Linked DNA regions of Callithrix jacchus. The protein of the gene in region 1 interacts with the protein of each later gene in a biochemical or structural test. Links are inferred from orthologs where the notes say so. Each region holds a gene or a part of one and is shown in the gene's direction. Other genes may lie near its edges.

What was found. The genes of interacting proteins can lie anywhere in the genome.
Region 2: the proteins of HSP90AA1 (region 1) and STUB1 form a complex in vitro, tested with the Homo sapiens proteins (14 studies listed by BioGRID and IntAct, with this or other methods). The link is inferred for Callithrix jacchus from reciprocal best matches to the Homo sapiens genes HSP90AA1 and STUB1.
Region 3: the proteins of HSP90AA1 (region 1) and FKBP4 form a complex in vitro, tested with the Homo sapiens proteins (4 studies listed by BioGRID and IntAct). The link is inferred for Callithrix jacchus from reciprocal best matches to the Homo sapiens genes HSP90AA1 and FKBP4.

What each region holds. Positions count from the first base shown.
Region 1 is NC_133509.1:136,998,511-137,005,209, reverse strand, and holds the end of HSP90AA1 (heat shock protein HSP 90-alpha), read left to right. Parts: intron 1-101; coding exon 102-235; intron 236-829; coding exon 830-1,150; intron 1,151-1,267; coding exon 1,268-1,433; intron 1,434-1,854; coding exon 1,855-2,045; intron 2,046-2,145; coding exon 2,146-2,293; intron 2,294-2,535; coding exon 2,536-2,804; intron 2,805-3,086; coding exon 3,087-3,420; intron 3,421-3,686; coding exon 3,687-3,796; 3' UTR 3,797-4,445; downstream 4,446-6,699. UniProt on the Homo sapiens protein: Molecular chaperone that promotes the maturation, structural maintenance and proper regulation of specific target proteins involved for instance in cell cycle control and signal transduction.
Region 2 is NC_133513.1:2,938,759-2,946,255, forward strand, and holds STUB1 (E3 ubiquitin-protein ligase CHIP), read left to right. Parts: upstream 1-2,828; 5' UTR 2,829-2,950; coding exon 2,951-3,109; exon of another isoform or gene 3,110-3,254; intron 3,255-3,548; coding exon 3,549-3,747; intron 3,748-3,832; coding exon 3,833-3,998; intron 3,999-4,065; exon of another isoform or gene 4,066-4,193; coding exon 4,194-4,281; exon of another isoform or gene 4,282-4,445; coding exon 4,446-4,502; exon of another isoform or gene 4,503-4,576; coding exon 4,577-4,693; exon of another isoform or gene 4,694-4,753; coding exon of another isoform or gene 4,754-4,775; coding exon 4,776-4,901; 3' UTR 4,902-5,152; downstream 5,153-7,497. Other genes in the region: RHBDL1 (rhomboid-related protein 1), read left to right, coding at 1-61, 147-418; JMJD8 (jmjC domain-containing protein 8), read right to left, coding at 5,203-5,283, 5,361-5,495, 5,573-5,640, 5,728-5,847, 5,937-6,186, 6,268-6,316, 6,456-6,545, 6,623-6,708; GATOR2 complex protein WDR24, read right to left, coding at 7,071-7,239, 7,328-7,497. UniProt on the Homo sapiens protein: E3 ubiquitin-protein ligase which targets misfolded chaperone substrates towards proteasomal degradation.
Region 3 is NC_133510.1:16,107,609-16,115,237, forward strand, and holds the start of FKBP4 (peptidyl-prolyl cis-trans isomerase FKBP4), read left to right. Parts: upstream 1-2,960; 5' UTR 2,961-3,104; coding exon 3,105-3,209; intron 3,210-3,877; exon of another isoform or gene 3,878-4,889; intron 4,890-5,059; coding exon 5,060-5,204; intron 5,205-5,642; coding exon 5,643-5,785; intron 5,786-6,633; coding exon 6,634-6,754; intron 6,755-6,994; coding exon 6,995-7,151; intron 7,152-7,629. UniProt on the Homo sapiens protein: Immunophilin protein with PPIase and co-chaperone activities. Component of steroid receptors heterocomplexes through interaction with heat-shock protein 90 (HSP90).

The sequences.
Region 1 (6,699 bases):
TTTTCATCTGTAGTAATGGCAAGTCTTGATAGATCTGAGTGAGGCATGGCTTGAACGCTAAGTTGATTGGATTATTGAGTCAATTTTCCCTACTTCTGCAGGTGAACCTATGGGTCGTGGAACCAAGGTTATCCTACACCTGAAGGAAGACCAAACTGAGTACTTGGAGGAACGAAGAATAAAGGAGATTGTGAAGAAACATTCTCAGTTTATTGGCTATCCCATTACTCTTTTTGTAAGTTTCTATGTAATTGCAGAGTGAATGCCATGCACAGTGGCTCACGCCTATAATCTTAGCACTTTGGGAGGCTGAGGTGGGTGGATTACGAGGTCAAGAGATCGAGACCATCCTGGTCAACTTGGTGAAACCCCGTCTCTACTAAAAATACAAAAAATTAGCTGGGCATGGTGGCGCGTGCCTGTAAGCCCAGCTACTCGGGAGGCTGAGGCAGGAGAATTGCCTGAACCAAGAAGGTGGAGGTTGTGGTGAGCCGAGATCCGCGCCATTGCACTCCAGCCTGGGTAACAAGCGAAACTCTGTCTTTAAAAAAAAAAAAAAAAAAAATTGCAGAGTGAGTTACTCTCTGTAGATGACTGGGGTGACTGAGCTACATCCTTATTCCTTAGATCTGTTGAACTTGGGTTGTTATTTATTAGTGTGGAGCCTGGGGAACCTAAGCTCTATCTACTACCTTAGTCTATAAGATACGTTGATGAGAAGCTGCCTGGCTGCTTCTGGCTTGGCTGACTAGGCTTTGGCCTTAGTTGAAAATAGTTGCTCAGTGTTACCAGTTGCAGCAGTGATGTGATTTCACGTCTTGTTTTGAAGGTGGAGAAGGAACGTGATAAAGAAGTCAGTGATGATGAGGCTGAAGAAAAGGAAGATAAAGAAGAAGAAAAAGAGAAAGAAGAGAAAGAGTCTGAAGATAAACCTGAAATTGAAGATGTTGGTTCTGATGAAGAAGAAGAAGAAAAAAAGGATGGTGACAAGAAGAAGAAGAAAAAGATTAAGGAAAAGTACATCGATCAAGAAGAACTCAACAAAACAAAGCCCATCTGGACCAGAAATCCTGACGATATTACTAATGAGGAGTATGGAGAATTCTACAAGAGCTTGACCAATGACTGGGAAGATCACTTGGCAGTGAAGGTGAGTGACTGAGTGGTGCTTCGAGCTTGTCCTTAGTTACTGTCTTTCCTCTTCCACCACAGATACCTTCTGTAATGCATTGTTCATTGGTACTTAAGTGTGTATGTTTTATTACAGCATTTTTCAGTTGAAGGACAGTTGGAATTCAGAGCCCTTCTATTTGTCCCACGACGTGCTCCTTTTGACCTGTTTGAAAACAGAAAGAAAAAGAATAACATCAAGTTGTATGTACGCAGAGTTTTCATCATGGATAACTGTGAGGAACTAATCCCTGAATATCTGAGTAAGTACAGTTAGGAAAAATGATCAGTCAGGGATTAAAGAAATAATTCCTGGCAGGCACAGTGGCTCACTCCTATAATCTTAGCACTTAGGGGAGGCGGAGGTGGGTGGATCACCTAACGTCAGGAATTCACGACCAGCTGGCCAAAATGAAAACCCAATCTCTACTAAATTAGCCTGGTGTGGTGGTGGGTGCCTGGAGTCCAGCTGAGTCTTGAGAATAGCTTGAATAGGGAGAGGGGAGTGGGAGATAGGTTGCAGTGGGCAGAGATCGGGCCACTGCACTCCACCCTGTAAAACAGACCCATCTTAATACATATGTATATATTTTGAGGTTTTTACGTTTGATTTTTTGGGGGTTATCTAGCACCAGTTTTGTCTTTGGAATGACTCAGTGCATTTGGTTTTTATATTTTTTTCAGACTTCATTAGAGGGGTGGTAGACTCAGAGGATCTCCCTCTAAATATTTCCCGTGAGATGTTGCAACAAAGCAAGATTTTGAAAGTTATCAGGAAGAATCTGGTCAAAAAATGCTTAGAACTCTTCACTGAACTGGCAGAAGATAAAGAGAACTACAAGAAGTTCTATGAGCAGTTCTCTAAAAACATAAAGGTTAGTGTAAATATTTGACCATTAGTAGTTTTCCAACTGGCCTCTTTTTAGATTTTTTTTAAATTCAAGACATCTTTGTAAAGAACTTACTTTGTTTCAGCTTGGAATACACGAAGACTCTCAAAATCGGAAGAAGCTTTCAGAGCTGTTGAGATACTACACATCTGCCTCTGGTGATGAGATGGTATCTCTCAAAGACTACTGCACCAGAATGAAGGAAAACCAGAAACATATCTATTATATCACAGGTAGGGGGACAGTACATTACACTCAAACACTTTGTTCTTGGAACCTTGTAGGCTCTGGATGTGTTTTCTACTCAGGTAGCACTGTTAGTATAACTGGTGTTGATCTAAGCAGGATACTTAACATGAGCTCAGTCATCTGTTTTCGGTTCTGCCTAGGTATCTGACTAGTAAGAAAAGTCAGAAGTAGGTGAAGCCATTCCTTACTGTCAAAAGGTATAAAAGTAACTTTTATAATACCTCAGGTGAGACCAAGGACCAAGTAGCTAACTCAGCCTTTGTGGAACGTCTTCGAAAGCATGGCTTAGAAGTGATCTATATGATTGAGCCCATTGATGAGTACTGTGTCCAACAGCTGAAGGAATTTGAGGGGAAGACTTTAGTGTCAGTCACCAAAGAGGGCTTGGAACTTCCAGAGGATGAAGAAGAGAAAAAGAAACAGGAAGAGAAGAAAACAAAGTTTGAGAACCTCTGCAAAATCATGAAAGACATACTGGAGAAAAAGGTTGAAAAGGTATGTGAATACAGCATTTCCTGATGATTGATACCTCTAAGGGGCTTTCAAGCTTACATAACCCATTTTCCCTTGTTCTCAGCTTCACTGAAAACTATGGTTGTGTATGTAAAACACAATTTTAGCCTGTGCTGTTTGGATACCTAATAAAACCTTAAGTTGTATTTGATAGTAGATGGTATTTCCGACATATTGATATTTTGGTTCTTCAGATTTCATTTCACAATGAAAGTTTAGGTTTTAATCTTTCTAGGCTCCTAAGTTCTTACTTCTTCATTACAGGTGGTTGTGTCAAACCGATTGGTGACGTCTCCATGCTGTATTGTCACAAGCACATACGGCTGGACAGCAAACATGGAGAGAATCATGAAAGCTCAAGCCCTGAGAGACAACTCAACAATGGGTTACATGGCAGCAAAGAAACACCTGGAGATAAACCCTGACCATTCCATCATCGAGACCTTAAGGCAAAAGGCGGAGGCTGATAAGAACGACAAGTCTGTGAAGGATCTGGTCATCTTGCTTTATGAAACCGCTCTCCTGTCTTCAGGCTTCAGTCTGGAGGATCCCCAGACACATGCTAACAGGATCTACAGGATGATCAAACTTGGTCTAGGTAAGCCTTAAACTGTGTCAAGTTGAAAAGCAATCATACATGACTTGTGAAAAAGTGGTTAATGTTATCCAAACTTGGAGCACCTTGTCCTGCTCAGAGGCATTCAGGTATCTTTTTCTACAGGGATAAGGTGTTACAAGAGCTAAGAAACGAAGATTCCTATGCCCAGTAATACTGTCTTGAAAGCAGATGTAAACCAGGAGTATTAATACTAATTAGCTGGCTTTAAGAAATCTTCCTAATAGAGGATTTTCTTTTGAAAACAGGTATTGATGAAGATGACCCTACTGCTGATGATACCAGTGCAGCTGTAACTGAAGAAATGCCACCCCTCGAAGGAGATGACGACACGTCACGCATGGAAGAAGTAGACTAAGCTCCATCTGAGGGATGACTTACCTGTTCAGTACTCTACAGTTCCTCTAATAATATATTTTCAAGGATGTTTTTCTTTATTTTTGTTAACATTAAAAAGTCTATGGCATGATCACAACTATAAGGGGAAGGTAGATCTCTGCCGACTTCTGAGCGATGCTGTGATACTGTAGGCAGTAACGCAGAGCTAGTAATGCTTGTTTAGTTTCACGTTGGCTTACATTAACAGATCGAGGTACTTTGTGTTGTAAGATGTATGTAACATGTTAACTTTGTGGTCTAAAGTGTTTAGCAAGCCAGATTCCTTAGTAGACCAAATCTTGTTATCGAAGTGTTCCCAAGCTATACTTTGATGTTTAGAAGAGAAGTGTTTGTTATACCTTGTAGGATCTACTTTCTGAACTCTTCCTCCCTGTAGTTGCCAATTCTGCATGTACTAGTCCTCTAGAAATAGGTTAAACTGAAGCAACTTGATGGAACTCTCCACAGGGCTTGTTTTCCAAAGAAAGTATTGTTTGGAGGAGCAGTTATTAGCCTACCTAAGCATACCATAAGCTGTTCAAAGTAACTCAGAGCCAGTCTTGTGGATGGAAATGTAGTGCTCGAGTTACATTCTGCTTAAAGTTGTAACAAATACAGATGAGTTAAAAGAAGTTGCGTGACAGTGTCTGTCTTGGGCAGAGAAGGGGAGTATTCTTGATGTGACAGCATTGGTGCCACAATGTAAAACATGAGGTACTAGCAGGAGGTGACTAACATTGGCCACTGTAAGGGTTGACATGATCTTCCCAATGTGTACTTCTGGTGCGTGTGGGGTGGAGTACATGTAGACAGAAAATAATGCAGACAATGTGCATCCCATGTGCACGTCTGCACTGTTGTGATGATATTCATGGGACACCTTGTGTCTTAAATGTAGTCAGTTCCTTGGCCTTTTGTCTCAGTTCATTACCAGATTTCTTTAAACTCAGTGTCTAAAGTCGCTCATTTTCTGGTCCTTTGAGCTCGTTGTGAGCAGTAGGTAACAAGTCGGTAGGGGAAAGATTAGCTGGCATGTCTCCAAAGGTTTAAAAAATACTGGGCACAGTGGCTCACCCCTATAATCTAGCACTTTGGGACACTGAGGTGGGTGGATCATGTGAGGTCAGCCTGACAAACATGGAGAACTGCTGTCTATTAAAAATACAAAATTAGCTGGGCGTGTTAGCACATACCTGTAGTCCCAGGAGACGGAGGTTGCAGTGAGCTGAGATGGCACCATTGCACTCCAGCATGGGCAGAAAGCAAAATTCCGTCTCAAAAAGTTCTAGGGGTGGTAATGGCTAACTAAAAGTCTTGTGATTCTAGAAAGAAAACTTGGTTAGATAGCATGTAGGATTTGCATTCTGAGCCTAAAGCCATATATAAAAAGGATATGGGTGGGACTTGGGTATGTGCTGGTGACTTAAGGGGCAGAGCACAGGCAGGGAGAAGACTTGGTCTCAGTCCTTCATGCTAAGCAGGTATTGAGTGCTTGGCAAATGGCAATCACATTTAATCCGTAAAATCCTCTGAGAAGTTCTTAGTTCCCTTAGTCAATAGAAAGAATTACTTAGGGTCTTGGTGGCTGAATTTTAAGTTTTGTTGCTTACTAGAAGATGTTAGCAGCTAAGACAAAGGTTTAGTGTTGAACTAGGAAGCGAATGGCAAAAAGGGTAAAATGTCAGCTTTTTCCCAGGTCTAGTTAAAAAAATAGTAAACCTAGGCTGGGCGTGGTGGCTCACGCCTGTAATCCCAGCACTTTGGGAGGCCGAGGCGGGTGGATCACGAGGTCAAGAGATCAAGACCAACCTGGTCAACATGGTGAAACCCCATCTCTTCTAAAAATGTAAAAAATTAGCTGGGCATGGTGGCACGTGCCTGTAATCCCAGCTACTCAGGAGGCTGAGGCAGGAGAATTGCCTGAACCCAGGAGGCGGAGGTTGCGGTGAGCTGAGATCGCGCCATTGCACTCCAGCCTGGGTAACGAGTGAAACTCCGTCTCAAAAAAATAAAAAATATTAAATCTTTAGATTTCTTCCAAATATAAGGCAGTTGAGGGAATCAGGCAATGTAGGACTTCTGTATAAATCATCTCCCAAATGAACTATCCTCCTGGAGTTACTGGGAAAGTGTTGATGGCGAATGGATGGGTACTTAGCTGTGCGCCTGACCTATCTCCCAGCAGTCCCTGTGCTGGCACCTGGACCACCAAGAAGATGGATGCCCAGCCAAGTGAGTGAGAAGTTGGGCCAGATGACACATGTATGTCATGGCTGCAAATGTCCTTGCACTGCTTAAAGGACCACGATTCTTACCCTATCACTTCAAAATTCATTGTTGCTTCAAACCTTCCATAGTCAAGTTCCATCCTGCCGAGGAGGGTAGTGAGTGCTGAAAAGACATGCAAACTGGACAAGAGGAAGACTTCACAGATGACATGGTTGTCCAGGTAGCACACACAAGGAATCTATCAAAATGATACTAGAAGTGGTTTTCGCATAGGAGAGATCAGTATACAAAAATCATTTGAGCCAGGCACGGTGGCTCACGCCTGTAATCCCAACACCTGGGGAGGCCAAGGCAAGGCTGCTTGAGCCCAGGAGTTCGAGACTGCCTGAGCAACAAAGCAAGACCCTGTCCCCCTGAAAAAATTAAAATTAGGTCAGGTGCAGTAGCTCACACCTGTAATCCCAGTACTTTGGGAGGCCAAGGCAGGTGGATCACCTGAGATCAGGAGTTCAAGACCAGCCTGGCCAACATAGCAAAACCCCATTCCTACTAAAAATACAAAAATTAGCTGGGCATGTTGGCAGGCACCTGTAATCTCAGCTACTCGGGAGGCTGAGGCAGGAGAATCGCTTGAACCTGGGTGGCGGAGGTTGC
Region 2 (7,497 bases), on another chromosome or scaffold:
AACTGGGCTGGGATGAGATGTCCTTACAAGTTGCTGAGGATGGTGCTGGCCTTGGTGTGCAGTGAGTAGGGACTGAGGGGGAGGGCCGGGGGGGGGCCTCTCAGCCTGCAGCCGGGGCACCTCCCATCTGCCGCATCCCTCTGCAGTGAGCTCCGAGGTGGGCCGGGCCGTGTGGCTGCGCTTCTCCCCGCCGCTGCCCGCCTCGGGCCCACAGCCCAGCTTCATGGCGCACCTGGCAGGCGCGGTGGTGGGGGTGAGCATGGGCCTGACCATCCTGCGCAGCTACGAGGAGCGCCTGCGGGACCAGTGTGGCTGGTGGGTGGTGCTGCTGGCCTACGGCACCTTCCTGCTCTTCGCCGTCTTCTGGAACGTCTTTGCCTATGACCTGCTTGGTGCCCACATCCCTCCACCGCCCTGACTGGCTACCTGAGGCTGCACAGGCCATGGCTTGGCACATGGTGGCTGCCCCCCTTGGGCCTTCGTGTCTGCCCTTGTGAACGGACGTCTCAGGGCTGCTGTGCCCCTTGGGTGTGGGTGGCCTCAGAGGAGACCCTGTCCCGGCCAACTCCCTACTCCCAGGACTTGCAGTCTGAGCCTTTTTGGATAATTAATAAATATTTTACACAGCACCAAGGGGCTATCCCAGGCTCTGGAAACTTGCCAGGACCTCCACAACCGCTGAACAGACCGTGAGGGCCCTGCCCACCACGAGAGCCTGGCTGTCCTCCCTGTGCACCTCTGCACCTGGGGTCACATGTGGGACTTGTTCCCCGGGCCACAGGCGAAGGTCTGTGGGAGTTACGGGCACCGGGGAGGGCTGGGGGCCAGGTGTGTGTCAGGCCAGGAGTGTGGTCAGGCGTGAGTTTGGCAGTGTTTATTGAGCTCCATGGTGGCAGCCTCCCTGGCATCCAGTGACACCCGAGGCCTGAGGTTGTGTGGCAGGTGAGTGGGCCAGGGCCGTAGCCGAGTCCACTCAGCCTGGGTCCTGCGCTTCTTCGCTGGCCTAGCATCCTCGTGGGTGGCCAAGCTGGGGCCAAGTTTGGGCAACAGGTGTGGGCACAGCCTCTGCCCCAAGGCCCCGGTCCACAGCGCTGTCTCCACTAGGTGAGGAGTCCACTGTCCTGAGGCACTGGCTAGGGAGGGGCACATGGAGTCAGGCCCAGGGCACAGGCCCCCCCCCACCCTGCCCATGCACAGATTGCTCACCTTGGCTCAGAGCTTGAACCCGGCCCAGGGACAGCAGGTTGTGCCTGAGGGTGTACTGTGGGGTCAGAAGACTGGGCACTGTGGCCACTGCCTCATCTGACAAGAAGGCTTCCAGCTGTGGAGCTCCGACCGCCAGGACTGCTCTGAGCAGCGAGGAGACAGCAGCCAGACACCCCATCAGGACAAGCTCTGGGAGACCCTGCTCCTGCTCCCAGGAACATGCAAGGGCCCAGACTGCCGGCTTCACAGACAAGGATGCCTGTGCACCCAGGTCGTGCACACCCGACTCACCTGTGGTGGGCCCACACCGCGGAGGGCACACAACTTTATGACTGCGGCCCCCGACTCTGGCAGGAGTCAGAAGGCGGAGGTCAAGCGGTGCACAACCAGCTCAGGGGATTGGTGGCCACAGGCTGCTGAAGACATGGCCAAAAGCGGCCTCTCTGTGGGAGGCCAGGTCAGGATGCCTGGAGTGGTGGACCCTCCAGGAACCCCGCCCCACGACAAAGCCCCGCCCCCACGAAGACACGCCCCTAGGAGGCCCCGCCCACGAGGAAGCACCGCCCCACCGACGCCACTCCCTGAAGACCCGCCCTACGGAGGCCCCGCACACGAGGAGGCGGGGCCGCACCCCACCGGCAGCCTCTAGACTAACAGCCGTTCCAGCTCCCTTCGCGTCACGTGCTTCTCCGCTCGGCCCTTGATGGCCGCCAGCAACTCCTCCCGTTACCTGGAAAAGGGGGTGAGGGGAGGTCCGGCCACGGGGACACTCGCCCCACGGATCCCTTTATCTCTTACCAGTCTACCAACGGTCCACGGCTTCCAGCCGCTCTCGGGGGCCCGCGCGCGCTCGTAGCACCTTTCGGTGGCATTCCAGGATGGCAGCCCAGCAAGCCGCTGGGGTCCCCACAGCCCCAGAGCGCGTGGGAGGCCGCCATGTTACGTGGAGGGGAGGGGTCGGCTCTCAGGGGCGGAGCCTCTGCGGAAGGGGCCGGCTGCTGGGGGCGGGACCTCTGCAAACGGAGTCGACCCCCCCCCGAGGGCGGGGCCGGCTGCCAGGGGCGGAACCTCTGCAGACGGGGCTGACTGATGGGGGCGTGGCCGGGTGCTGGGGGCGGGGCCTCCGCCGATGGGGGTGGCTGCGGGGGCGGGGCCTCTGCCGATGGGCCAGGTGCTGGGAGTGGGGGCGGGTGCCGGGGGCGGGACCGCCGCAGATGCGGCCTGTTGTTGGGGGCGGGGCGGGCTGCTGGGGGCGGGACCTCTGCAGATGGGGTCTTTACGGGTTGGGGCAGGGGCGGAATCCCACGTGGGCGGGACAGGCTTTTAGGGAAGCACGCCCTCAGCGAACCAAGGCTGAGGCACCTCACGGAGAAAACCGGATATATGGGACGGCCGCCACCGAGGCCAGTTCTGGAGAGGCCTCGGCGGGGCGGGGCGGGGCTGGCCTCCGCGAATGCCGACCCTGAAAAACGCGGGGCCAGGGAACCGGAGCGTTCCTCGCAGCCAGCTACGTCGCGGGCCGACTGTCCCCGCCCAGGCTGGTTGGGCGCACGCGCGGCCCTACCCGCCCCCCGACGCCTGCGTCCCCGCCGATCCCGCCCCCGGCCGGAAGTTCCGGCGGCGGAGCTGGGCCGGGCCCGAGCTGATCGTGGGCTCGGGCTGCAGGGCTCGGGCTCGGGCTTCGGGTGCAGGGCCGTCAGGCGCGGAGCTTGGGAGCGCAGCCCAGGCCGTGCCGCTCGGCGCCATGAAGGGCAAGGAGGAGAAGGAGGGCGGCGCGCGGCTGGGCGCTGGCGGCGGAAGCCCGGAGAAGAGCCCGAGCGCGCAGGAGCTCAAGGAACAGGGCAACCGTCTGTTTGTGGGCCGAAAGTACCCGGAGGCGGCGGCCTGCTACGGCCGCGCGATCGTGAGTGCGCCCGCGTGGGGAAGGCGGCGACGGCGAGTCGGAGGGCCACGCCCGCGATCGGCCGGCCCCGCCGAGGGTCTGGCTCCTCCGCGGCGGGTATCCTGGGCTCCGAAAGCCCAGCATTGGTTCTCGATCCCAGCGCCAGGTGCCGGGGAACGAGGGTGGGATGCTAGATGGAGGCCGGCCGGGTGGGTGGGAGGCCAGGGTCCAAAGCTGGGACTCTCCAAAGATTTGGAAAACTCTACAGAACCAACCGGAGTGAGGTGTGTAGGCTCAGCCAGTAGTCCCGTGTCTGCAGATCCTTGGACCCAGAGGCTTTGGCTACTGAGAGGTCTAGGTTCTTGATCGTAGCCAGATCGCAGAAGCTGGGACGGGCCCTGGGACAGAGGGGGCGCGCTGAGCCTACGCCTGATGCGGCTGGCCCGGCCTTGGTCCCTAGACCCGGAACCCGCTGGTGGCCGTGTATTATACCAACCGGGCCCTGTGCTACCTGAAGATGCAGCAGCATGAGCAGGCCCTGGCCGACTGCCGGCGCGCCCTGGAGCTGGACGGGCAGTCTGTGAAGGCGCACTTCTTCTTGGGGCAGTGCCAGCTGGAGATGGAGAGCTATGATGAGGCCATCGCCAATTTGCAGCGAGGTTGGCCGACAAGCTGCCTGGGTGCGGGGCCCCTGGGACCAGGCGGTTGGACTGGCCAGCGTGACCGGAAGCCCTTGTTCCCCAGCCTACAGCCTGGCCAAGGAGCAGCGACTGAACTTTGGGGACGACATCCCCAGCGCTCTGCGAATCGCGAAGAAGAAGCGCTGGAACAGCATCGAGGAGCGGCGCATCCACCAGGAGAGTGAGCTGCACTCCTACCTTTCGAGGCTCATTGCGGCGGAGCGTGAGAGGTGGGACCCTTACCCCAGGCCGCGCTGTCTGGGGATAATTCTGAATAACCAACCGCCAACACGAATGTTTACTGAAAGTTTTACTGGCGAGCAGTGCATGTGGGGAAGAAGCCTGGATGTTAGCCCTGAGTCTGGGGTGTGGTCAGACATCTTCTGGCCAGGTCCGTCTCTGACGGGCTCCTGGTCATCCCCCAGGGAGCTGAAAGAGTGCCAGCAGAACCACGAGGGTGACGAGGACGACAGTCACGTCCGGGCCCAGCAGGCCTGCATTGAGGCCAAGCACGTGAGGGTGCCCCCATCCACATGTGGGTCTGTGTGTGTGCACACGTGGCACGGGAGCGTCCCCACCCTGCTGTGGGTCTGTGTGTCCCTGCCTCGTGTTGGGTCTGGGTACCACGGAGGAGGGAAGTGGGGTGTCCCTCCCAAGCACTGCTCAACTTTCCACAGGACAGATACATGGCGGACATGGATGAGCTCTTCTCTCAGGTGGATGAGAAGAGGAAGGTGAGTGCTGCTGTGGGTGGTAGGTCCTGGAGCAGCCCCTTCCCAGCCTCTGACCCTGTGCCCATGTGCCACAGAAGCGCGACATCCCTGACTACCTGTGTGGCAAGATCAGCTTTGAGCTGATGCGGGAGCCGTGCATCACACCCAGTGGCATCACTTACGACCGCAAGGACATCGAGGAGCACCTGCAGGTGAGGCTGGGGCCAGGGGGTGGGCAGGGCCAGCAGCAGGGTCCTAGGCTTGCTGAGCAGCCTCTGCCTCTTGTCACTGCAGCGTGTAGGCCATTTTGACCCTGTGACCCGGAGCCCCCTGACGCAGGAACAGCTCATTCCCAACCTGGCTATGAAGGAGGTCATTGATGCATTCATCTCTGAGAACGGCTGGGTGGAGGACTACTGAGCTCCTCGCCCTGCCCAGTGTCCTGGCCCCGGAGGGCCACGGGCAGAAGCCCCCAGCCCCTGTACATAGCTTGTGTCCCTGGCCACCCTTTCCCTTCCCCCCAGTTCTGCTGTTGGGCTCTGGACGGCTCCCCTCTCAGCATAGCTCTTGCTGGGCTGTGATCCTCCCCGTCCCCCATTCTGGGCTGGAAAAGCAGGTGAGGGTGGGCTGGGCTGCGGCCACCGTCTGTGTAATAAAATCCGTGAGCACAAGCTGGGGAAGAAGTGCTCTGTGTGACAGGAGTGCCTGCCGGCTGCCACGGCTAGCCAAGGAAGGTAGAGATGAAGACGCTGGTGTCAAGGTTGAGTGTGGCGTGCCACCAGCGGTCGGGGAAGTACAGCACCTGGTGAAGGAAGGGGGTGCAGCCGAGATCAGCTGCGGGCCTCTGACCTGGCCCGGTCCCTCCTGCCAGCCACTGACCTCACCAGCCTGGATGGTACACTCCAGGGGCCGTGCAGACGGCGGCAGGGCTGGGTATGTGTCCCGGAGCCAGGCCAGCGTGGTCTTGTTGGGGTGGAACTCTGGCGTCTTCTCAGGTGGGTAGAGGAACCAGCGCTGTGGGCAGGGGCAGCAGCGTCACCCTTGCCCACTTGGGTCATCCACCCAAGCCCCGACACCCACCCTGGGCTGACCTTACGGCCGTAGATCACCTCCGAGTACCCAGGCCCGTGCCAGTGGAAGGGCACCCCCGAGCCGGCTCCTGTGGGGTTACGAGCACCTAGTGACCCACCTGTTTAGTACCCACTCTCAGAAGCCTCACTCCTCCCCAGTCCCAAGGAGCACCCACCTGCGATTCCAAAGCTGTAAGCTGGAGCGGTACCCGGCAGACCAAATGGGGGTGGGGAGTAGTGCCGAAAAAGTGAGGACCATTCAGTGAAGTTGTTGTCCCCGAAAAAGTACAGGGTGTCTGCAACAGAGACGGTGGGGCAGGGATCCCGGCACTGGGAGGCTCCAAGCGTGTCGCCGCCCCAACACCGCCATACATGGCTGACTCACCATTGCCCAGGGAGGTGGGGTCCTGGGGGTGCAGCAGCTGCTCCACATACTCCTGGAAGGGCAAGTCCACTGCAGGGAAGGGACGGGTCAAGACCGGCTGCTGCAGCCGTCGCGGCGTTGGCAAGCAGGCGGGCCCGGGGTGGGGCGGCTCACCCTTCCGGTAGGAGTAGGTGTTGGCGGTGCTCAGCCGAACCACTCTGTCTCCGAACGACGCCAGCAACCTGTCGCGGGAGCACAGGGCCCGGAACCTCTGCGGGGGGGCGGGCGGGGGCGGGGCTTAGAGGCCGGGCCCAGCACGCGCGAGGGTGTCCGGGGACGGGCGCGCGCTCACCGAGTTGTCCGTGAGTCCCTGCAGGATAACGGGCCTGACGAACGCGTACCTGGAAGGAAGGGCAGAGTCGCGCCCAGGCTCGACCGCCACCCTCGCCGCCCCCGCCCCACACTCGCGGGAGCTCGGGGAAGGCGCCTTAGGCGGGCGGGTGACCAGGGCGCGATCTCCGCGGTCAGGGGCGCACGTACTGCTGCACGAACTCGGCGTAGGTAAGGTCGGCGCGGCGCTCCACCGTGCAGCGCTGCTCCTCGGCCGCGGCCCCCGGCCCGCCCCGGCGCCTGCGGGCACAGCCCGGTCAGCCCGCGCCCTACCCGCCGCACGAGACCCCCCGCCCGGCCCCTCCCGGGCCGCTCACCACCCGCCGTCGCCCTCCTCCCCCGAGCTGGGTAGAACCAGAGCCGCCAGCGCCCAGAGCGCGAGCAACCACGACCCCGGCGCCATGAGCCCGCCGCCCTCAGGCAGCCGCGCTGCACGCCGGGAACCTCAGGCCCGTCCGCCAGCCATTGGCCGCAACCTCGTCGTCATGGCAACCGCCGGGTGCCCGGATGGTTCCGGAAGTGATCTCCTTTGCCCCGCCCCGGAAGAGGCCTATTGGCATCGCTGGTTACCATGGCGACAGCCCCGGAGAGAGCCCCCGCCCAGCAGCTGCACGGCGAGCACACTGCAAGCCCCCGCGCGGACAGCGATTCCACTTCCTTTATTGGGGTTTCAAGTTCCAGCCTCTGCCCGTCTGGGGCCCAAGACCAGGCGGGGTTTTGCACGTGGCCGGCCGGGCGGTCAGGTCCCCAGAGCCTAGCAAACGCTCAGGAGTACTCGCAGAGGTGGCCGCAGCCCGCGGGGCAGTGGGAGCTGCCTTCCAGCCACTTCATGATGTGCTGCAGGTGGCCGCCGTGGCTGCAGCCCTGGCACCACACGAACAGGCCCTTGACAACGTGGTGGCAGACGGCGCACATGCTGGCGCAGCGGTGGCACCTGGGGGCGGGCGGGAGGGCGGACGCCTCAGCGGGGGCTCCTGCACTGCCTGCAGGCCCCTTCCCCACCTCCCGACCCCACTGCCCACCTGTCGCAGACCCAGCCCCGGCTGCTCATGGGCCGTTTGCAGTGGCTGCAGTTGACATGCAGGGTGGTGGAGGCCTGGTTGAGGCAGCTGACGGCTCGGCTCGTGCTCAGCTTGACCACCTCGTTGGACACGTTCCACAGGCGGAAGCGCTGCAGCAGGTCGATGTAGGA
Region 3 (7,629 bases), on another chromosome or scaffold:
AATGTACAGGTCATTACCTTTTTTTTGGTAATATATTTTTGACAAATTATATTGTGAATGTTCTAACACAGGCTAGGTGACAGATTCCCAGGTTCATTGTGCTGGTATGCTGCATAACATGTATGCATACATGCACACACACACTCGTACTGCATTGCACAGTCTTTTGAATGGTCCAAATATTATACAATTCTTTGGATGTTAAGTGCATTGGCAGCCTAAGAAGGTCAAAATATGAACTATAGAAACAAGGGGTCTTCATGTGTAAATGATAGGCCCAGGGTTTGGGAGCTGAGCCTGGTCAGCTCAGAGAGGCTCAGTGTGACAAGAACAAAGCTTCTGATCCCAGCAGAAGTCACCTACGGAGAAGGTGGATGAGAAAAAGTGTGCTGACTTCCTCCTGCAAAAAAAAAGGGGATATTTTGGAAGAATTTCGAGTGACACCAGTTAAACATATTTAATAGAATACTTACTTAAATGGGCCAGGGAAAGGGTGAGGAGATAAAGAGACTTAAACACGTGCACACTTTCTACAGTGAGTATGTGTATGTTTTATGATCAGAAAAGTATCACATAAACGACCAGGAAATATTCCGTGAAACAGTAAGTATCTGCTCCGGGATTCAAGACCCAATACCTGTGGGCCCCTCGTTTCCTCCGTCGCTGTGTGTGGGGACAGAGCTTCTCACCGAGAACCTTGCCTTCCTGCCTTCCCTATCTCACAGCCCTTTGTTTTCTTAGCACTTTGTCCCCATCTCCACCGCAGCGCCTATCAGATCACACTAACGACCGTTATTTGCCAACTGCGGAGTTGGAGGCGACCACTGTGCTGGCTAGATACCATACACAGATTCCCTCTTTTTTAACCAGTAACACCCCTCATTTACAGATGTTACTACCCCTATTTTACAGACAAGAAATCGATACATAAAGATTAAATAACCTGCCCCAAATTAAACCGCTAACACATGGACCACCCAACTCGCCTTACTCCAAAGCACAGGTTCATTCCACTAGGGTATTGGCTATGTGTTTATATAATGGTAGGTACATCGGAAGGCTTCCATTAAGTATGTGCTGAACAGAATTAAAGAAGGGGGTCCTACACTGTCTGCTTCTGATGAAGAAAAAGACGCAGAAAAGAAACAGCCACACGTGGAGAATCAGTAGGTGCAAGCCAAGGACAGTTTGCGGTAAACTGCCACCCGGAAGCCAGCACCCACCATCCTGGTCTCCCGGAGTTTGGGTGGCTCCTGGCACTGTTATTTCTACAGAAAAGTAGTGGATTTAATCCCTACAGAGGCAGCGCCCCCGTATCCTCTGGAGGTGCCTCCAGTCACCTAAAGAGACATCTTCATTGTGGCTCTCAACTCATGTGGGCTGTAAATTGCTGGAGAGAAGCGCTTTTTCTTATGCATTCCTTTCAAGTTCCCTCGGCAGGGACTACAATGAACCATCGCGTTATGACGCTGAAAAGTTCATCTCTAAAAAGCGATCCTAATTTAGTTTGATGAGCCTGACGGCGTCCCAACAGCGAAGTGCCGGGCACATAAACGGATGTCCAAAAATATAATTATTATAGGAATAAAAATTCACGCTGGGTGCAGTGGCTCACGCCTGTAATCCCAGCACTTTGGGAGGCCGAGGAGGGCGGATCATTTGAGACCAGGAGTTTGAGACCAGCCTGGGCAACATGGCGAAAGCCCGTCTCTACTAAAAATACAAAAATTAGCCGGCGTGGTGGCGCGCGCCCGTAGTCCCAGCTACTCGGGAGGCTGAGGCAGGAGAAATGCTTGAACCCGGGAGGTGGAGGTTGCAGTGAGCCGAGATCGCGCCACTGCGCTCCAGCCTGGCGCCTGGTGACAGAGTGAGACTCTGTCTCAAAAAAAAAAAAAAAAAAAAGAAAAGAAAAAAGAAAAGAAAAAATCAGCCAAGACTTGGAAAAAGAAATAAAAAAGGAAACTTCATGCAACCAGTTACAACTGGGCACCACTCACCAGATACTACACTAAGCTGGGGTTAGGTGCTGAGCAAAACCAGGCTCCTCTCTAGATGGCTCTCTAGGTCCCACGACCATGGCTTTGGTGACACCGGTAGCTGCGCGCTCCACAGGCTGTCAAGAAACACTCAGGAAACAAACATTGAAAATACTCCGTCTGTGGGCCTTTAGGAAAACCGAGTGACTTTTTTCGGGAGGGGAACCCATCCTTGTAAGCATTCGCGGAAACGGCAGTTTCATTACCGCGAGGAAGGGTCCCCTGAGTGCGTGCCCCGTGTGAGTCCCAAGCTGGACGGCCATGCCCTGCCACCCCGTTCCTTGCAGCATCTGCAGGCGCGGGAGGAGGCACTGCTGCCCAGCTGGGGCTTTCCGACTTTGGGGAAATTGAGGTTGCTTTCCCTGGCTCTGCGCAGCGGGGCAGCGCTGTCCACTCACTTCCCCGCCCACACGCCCTTGCCCTTTTTCCCCCAGGTAGGCAAGGGTCTACGCGGGTCATAACGGGAAGGCCACGCCGCCCATGGTGAAAGCTGCTCCCGGGGAGGGCGTGCCGCCGCTGCCATCTGGCTGCCCGCGCTTCCCACACCCCGCCGCGGGCGCAGCGGACTAGTGGAGTAAAGTCAGGAGATCGATCGAGAAGAATCTGGAAGAATCCGGTTAGACAGGGAAGCGGCCGGGGGTGGGAGGGAGGAAAGGCCAGGGGAGATCCCGAGTCCGAGGGTCCCAGGAGAGGGGAAGGGGTGCCGGCAACCAGCAGGAGGCAAGAACAAGGAGAAAAAAAAAAATCCGAAGCGCCCGCAGCCCGAGCCCGAACGGGATCAGCCCCGCAGTCTCTAGAAAGTTCTGCACCCCGCCCGCTCTGTCCGCTCTCCGGCTCCTCCCAGCCCCTCCCTCGCGGCGGGGCGGGACCAATCGCTCCCCGAGCCGCTCCTGACCCACCTACCCCCGCTCCCGCGCCGCGAGCAGAGGTGCTCCAGTCTCTGAGCGGTCCGCAGTTAGCGCCGTGGCGCCTGGCCTCCCGCACGCTCCGCAGGTAGTACCCCCACCGGCTACCCAGAGTGCGCTCGCGCCGGCGCCAGCTCCCGGAGAAACGGCTCGCCGCCCGGAGATGACAGCCGAGGAGATGAAGGCGACCGAGAACGGGGCGCAGTCCGCGCCGCTGCCGGTGGAGGGAGTGGACATAAGCCCCAAACAGGACGAAGGCGTGCTGAAGGTGAGGGAAGGCGGGGTCTGCGGGGGCGACCGAACCCCGGGCCCGGCGGGCCACCCTTCCGCCAAGCCGGGAGCCCGCGGCCGGGCGCGGGTCGAGGCGGCCGCCTCTGCAACCTTGTGGCGGTTTCGCCGGGGGCCGGTGGCATCGCCGTCCCGGACCGTGATGCGTCGTTTGGGGCACTGAGGGTGGCCACGCGCTCGGCAGGGGGCGGCCTAGGTGAGCCGGCCGAGGCCCCAGGCTCCCTATCCCGCGGCGCCCGGGCCCGGCAGGGGGTCGGGATTGCAGCGCCCACCTCGGCGCGCGCAGGGCGGCGGAGAGGGGCGGGGCGGCCGCCGCGGGCGCTCCAGCTGCAGCCAGGGGCCAGGCCGGGCTGCTCCCACGCCGCGCCGCCCCCTATCCCCCGGGCTGCCTTGTAGGTGGCGGTGCCAGGGCTGGCCCACCCCGGCTGTGGAACATAGGCCAGGACGGGGAGCGACTCCCCACAGTGCTTTCCTGGCCTGGAGGCCTTTGTGTGACGCAAGCGCGACAGGGTTCTGGCGCCCTCCTGGTGTCCCCTGCCGACACCGGGACCCTGCGAGGTCCCCAACTCTCCGCGCCCCCTCCCTCGCCCCCCCGGGGAGGCCGAGCGCGGGGAATGCCGGGAGCTGTAGTTCCCCCCCCCCCGCGCCGCCTCCCGGAGCCCGTCTGCGGGGTGTGGGGTGGGGAGGAGGCGCTCTGCTGTGGAGCCCGCGGCCGAGTGACCGCTCGACTACAAATAGCCTGGGGAGCTGGGTGGAGGGCATCTTGACCTGGGCCAGGACAACCTGCCATGGGTCGGAGCAGGTTCTGGGGAGAGTCCGGAGATGGTGAACTCGCAGCTCGCATCTTATGCCCTCTCCCTATCCGCTGCTCCTCCTCATCCTGGCTTCCCACCGTTGAGCTCCGCGTGTGCGGCACCCGTCTCAGGGGGCCTTTACCTGGTCCAGAAGTGCATCTGGCTTGGCACCAGATAACTGGGGACCTCGAGTGCCTGATCCAGCGACTGTCCTGTGGCATGTGGCTTCCCCTTCTCGCTCCAGCGTCCTGCTGTTTTCTATGAGATTGTTATTCTAGGAAGGATCATTTCCCCCTTTGATCCGCCATTCCTTCCCTTTTACCTTTCTACTCCTCAAGGCCCCTTTCCGTTCTTCATGGAAGCTTTCCCTTAGAGGGTAACCACACACCTACCAGGTGGCGCTAAAGAAGCCTGTAGTTGCTGGGAAATACTCCAGCCTGGACTTAATCAGGAATACTCAGCTCCGAAGTCAGAGTTCAAGGCCCCAGGGAGAGCCTCCGGGTTCACCTATAACCTGGTTTCTTCCTTACCTGTTTTGAACTGTTTCTTTTCTCTTCACTTATACTCCTCTCTTTCTCCTGTCTCCAAACCAGACCCTGATCTGATGACCACTGGCATGAAGGAAGGAGGAGGAAGTATGGCATAAATACTTCCCCATTTGCCGATGATAATAATAATCTATTATTCAGCCCTTTACTGGTCTAATCTTCCAACAGCTGTAGGAGATAGGGATCATCATCACTGCTTTACAAATAAGGTGTGGAGAGTTTTAAGAACTTATCCATACACCAGAAACTTGAACTCAGATCTCTCAGTCTTTTGTCTCTTTTTCAAACCAAGTCTTGCTGCACCTCAAGAAAGACAAGGTTAGTTGACTCCTAGGCTAAGCTGCTAGTAACCGAATCTGGAGGGACAAGTAGGCAGAGGAGGATGGACACAGAGAGCTTCATTTATGTTCCTGGAGGCTTGCAGACAGTGTTGGTGCCCCTTTCCGCCCCCACCCCTGGGGTACTCACTTTCTCCCCCTTCCTCCCAGGTCATCAAGAGAGAGGGCACAGGTACAGAGATGCCCATGATTGGGGACCGAGTCTTTGTCCACTACACTGGCTGGCTGTTAGATGGCACAAAGTTTGACTCCAGTCTGGATCGCAAGGACAAATTCTCCTTTGACCTGGGAAAAGGTAGGCGTGGTCAGTGGGCTGGCAGGATAGGTTTGAGGTGGACACAAACTGTCACAAGCAGAAACCATTTTCTCAGGACCAGGCTCAGGGAGGAGTGGTTTATCACACTCTGTTACTCTTTCTGTCACTCTTTTCCTTCTACCGATCTGTAACTATATTGATCTATGTCTTCTCTTCTCATCACCTCCCAGCACCTTACTCCAGCTTCAAAGGTGGACTGTCTTGCATCTTAAAACTCTTTTTTTCAGGGTCAGGTGATCTTTTAAGAGTTCTGAGACCTGGTAACACTTAATGCAACCAGGTATCTCACCTTCTGGTCCCATTTCTAAAGGATGTCCAGCTTCCCCGTGAGTGTGGTTCAGTAACTCTCCAGGAGCACTGTGTGAGCCCAGAATCAGAACCCTGCTAAGGTGATCCTGTTTGCCTCTATATCTGCAGGGGAGGTCATCAAGGCTTGGGACATTGCCATAGCAACCATGAAAGTTGGGGAGGTGTGCCACATCACCTGCAAACCAGAATATGCCTACGGTTCAGCAGGCAGTCCTCCAAAGATCCCCCCCAATGCCACGCTTGTGTTTGAGGTGAGTGTCCAGCCACTGAGATCCAGGCTAAAAGCCAGGCCTTATCTCAGCCCAATGCCTGGCTGCTCTCCAGCCCTTCCTGCTTCTTGGAGACAATGTAGCCAAGGCTGAGGGCCTGGCCTTATGGGAGGAGTAGAAATGAACAGGGCAGTTGGCTCTGCTGCTGCTAGTAATAGAAGTAATGGAAGCTTTGGGTTGGAAGAGGCAGGCGCAAGCCCCTCTCCAGACTCAAGGCATGGTCGGGGTTAAGGCTTCTTTATCTCAAGAGTGGTACCCAGAAGAATACTGAAAGGAGTCGGGAGGTCAGAAACTATGTACCCTTATAAATAGCAGTACAGAATATTGGTGCTCTAGAGATCAGAAGAGGGAGCAATAGCCCTCCCCTGTGGGTCAAGGGCTGAGAAAAGCCGTCTCTGAGGAGCTAGAACTTGACATTGTTCAATATGAAAATGGTTGAGCCAATCTGTGGGCACTTGAATGTTGAGAAACTGCTGAGAGATATTGGGTAATCATTCCTAACACCTACCAGATTGGGCTTATCAGGTAGTGTGAATCAGGATTACCTGGAACACGTCCCGATGCGTCCTCATTAGTAGAGCAGGTAGCAAATAGATTGCTCTCCTCAGCTTAACTGAAGCCCATGTAGGCTGCCCACCTCTACCAAAGGTGAGGTAAGGGCAGCTCCCAAGAACTTAGCAAAATCGCCTTTCTACCCGACTCCTCGTGACTACCCTTATAGTCAGATCTGGCCTGGCAGTTAGTAGGGACTCTCCTGGGTGAGAGAAAGGTTGTGTTTCACTGCCCATGAGTTAGTATGGGAAGGAATTGTGTCACATCTTGTCCCACAGGTGGAGTTGTTTGAGTTTAAGGGAGAAGATCTGACGGAAGAGGAAGATGGCGGAATCATCCGCAGAATACGGACTCGTGGTGAAGGCTATGCTAAGCCCAATGAGGGCGCTATTGTGGAGGGTAAGACAGTACAGCCTTGGGTTTCAATTCTAATTTTGATATTTAGGCCTCAGTGGCTTTGGGTAGGTAATGTCTCTTCTCTGAGCCTGTTTTCTTGGCCATAAAATGAGGGGTTGGACCATATTGTCTTTGAGAACACAAGTAGGAGAATCTTGGGGTGATGTAGAGAGGCTGATGGCATCCTTCCTCAGTTACCTTTCCCTTTTACAACTCTGGTACACTGCCTCTCTTTCATGCCAGTTGCACTGGAAGGGTACTACAAAGACCAGCTCTTTGATCAACGAGAGCTCCGCTTTGAGATTGGTGAGGGGGAGAACCTGGATCTGCCTTATGGTCTGGAGAGGGCCATTCAGCGCATGGAGAAAGGAGAACATTCCATTGTATACCTCAAGCCCAGGTGAGGGGTGGGCACTTCATAGAGTAGGCAGGCAGGCAAACCAAGGTCAAAGATACAAAGTGAGTTATATCTCTCTTTTAGTGAATTATATTCTCAGCTGTTTGTATCCTTTTTAACTCTGGGCACACCAAACATACACCATTATGATCTCTTCGGTGTACTTGGAAGTGTGGTCATAGTCGTCTACATCTCCTTGGATCTAAGCCCAGTCTTATCAGTCATAATTGCTACAGATTCTCTCCTCTGCCATCAAGATTTGCCTCTCCCATTCATTCATTCAGTCATTACTGAAACATATCCATTACATGCCAGACACTACTGAAAATTCCTAGGGGTTCAGAGACTGATAGAACATTGTTTCTAGTTTCTAATTCTAGTTCTTTGTTTAGTGAGGTGTCATTTAAGTTAGTAATCACACTGCTGCCTGGCTGAGTTATTAGAAGGGTACGAAGGATGCTGAGGGACCATCTGATTGTGT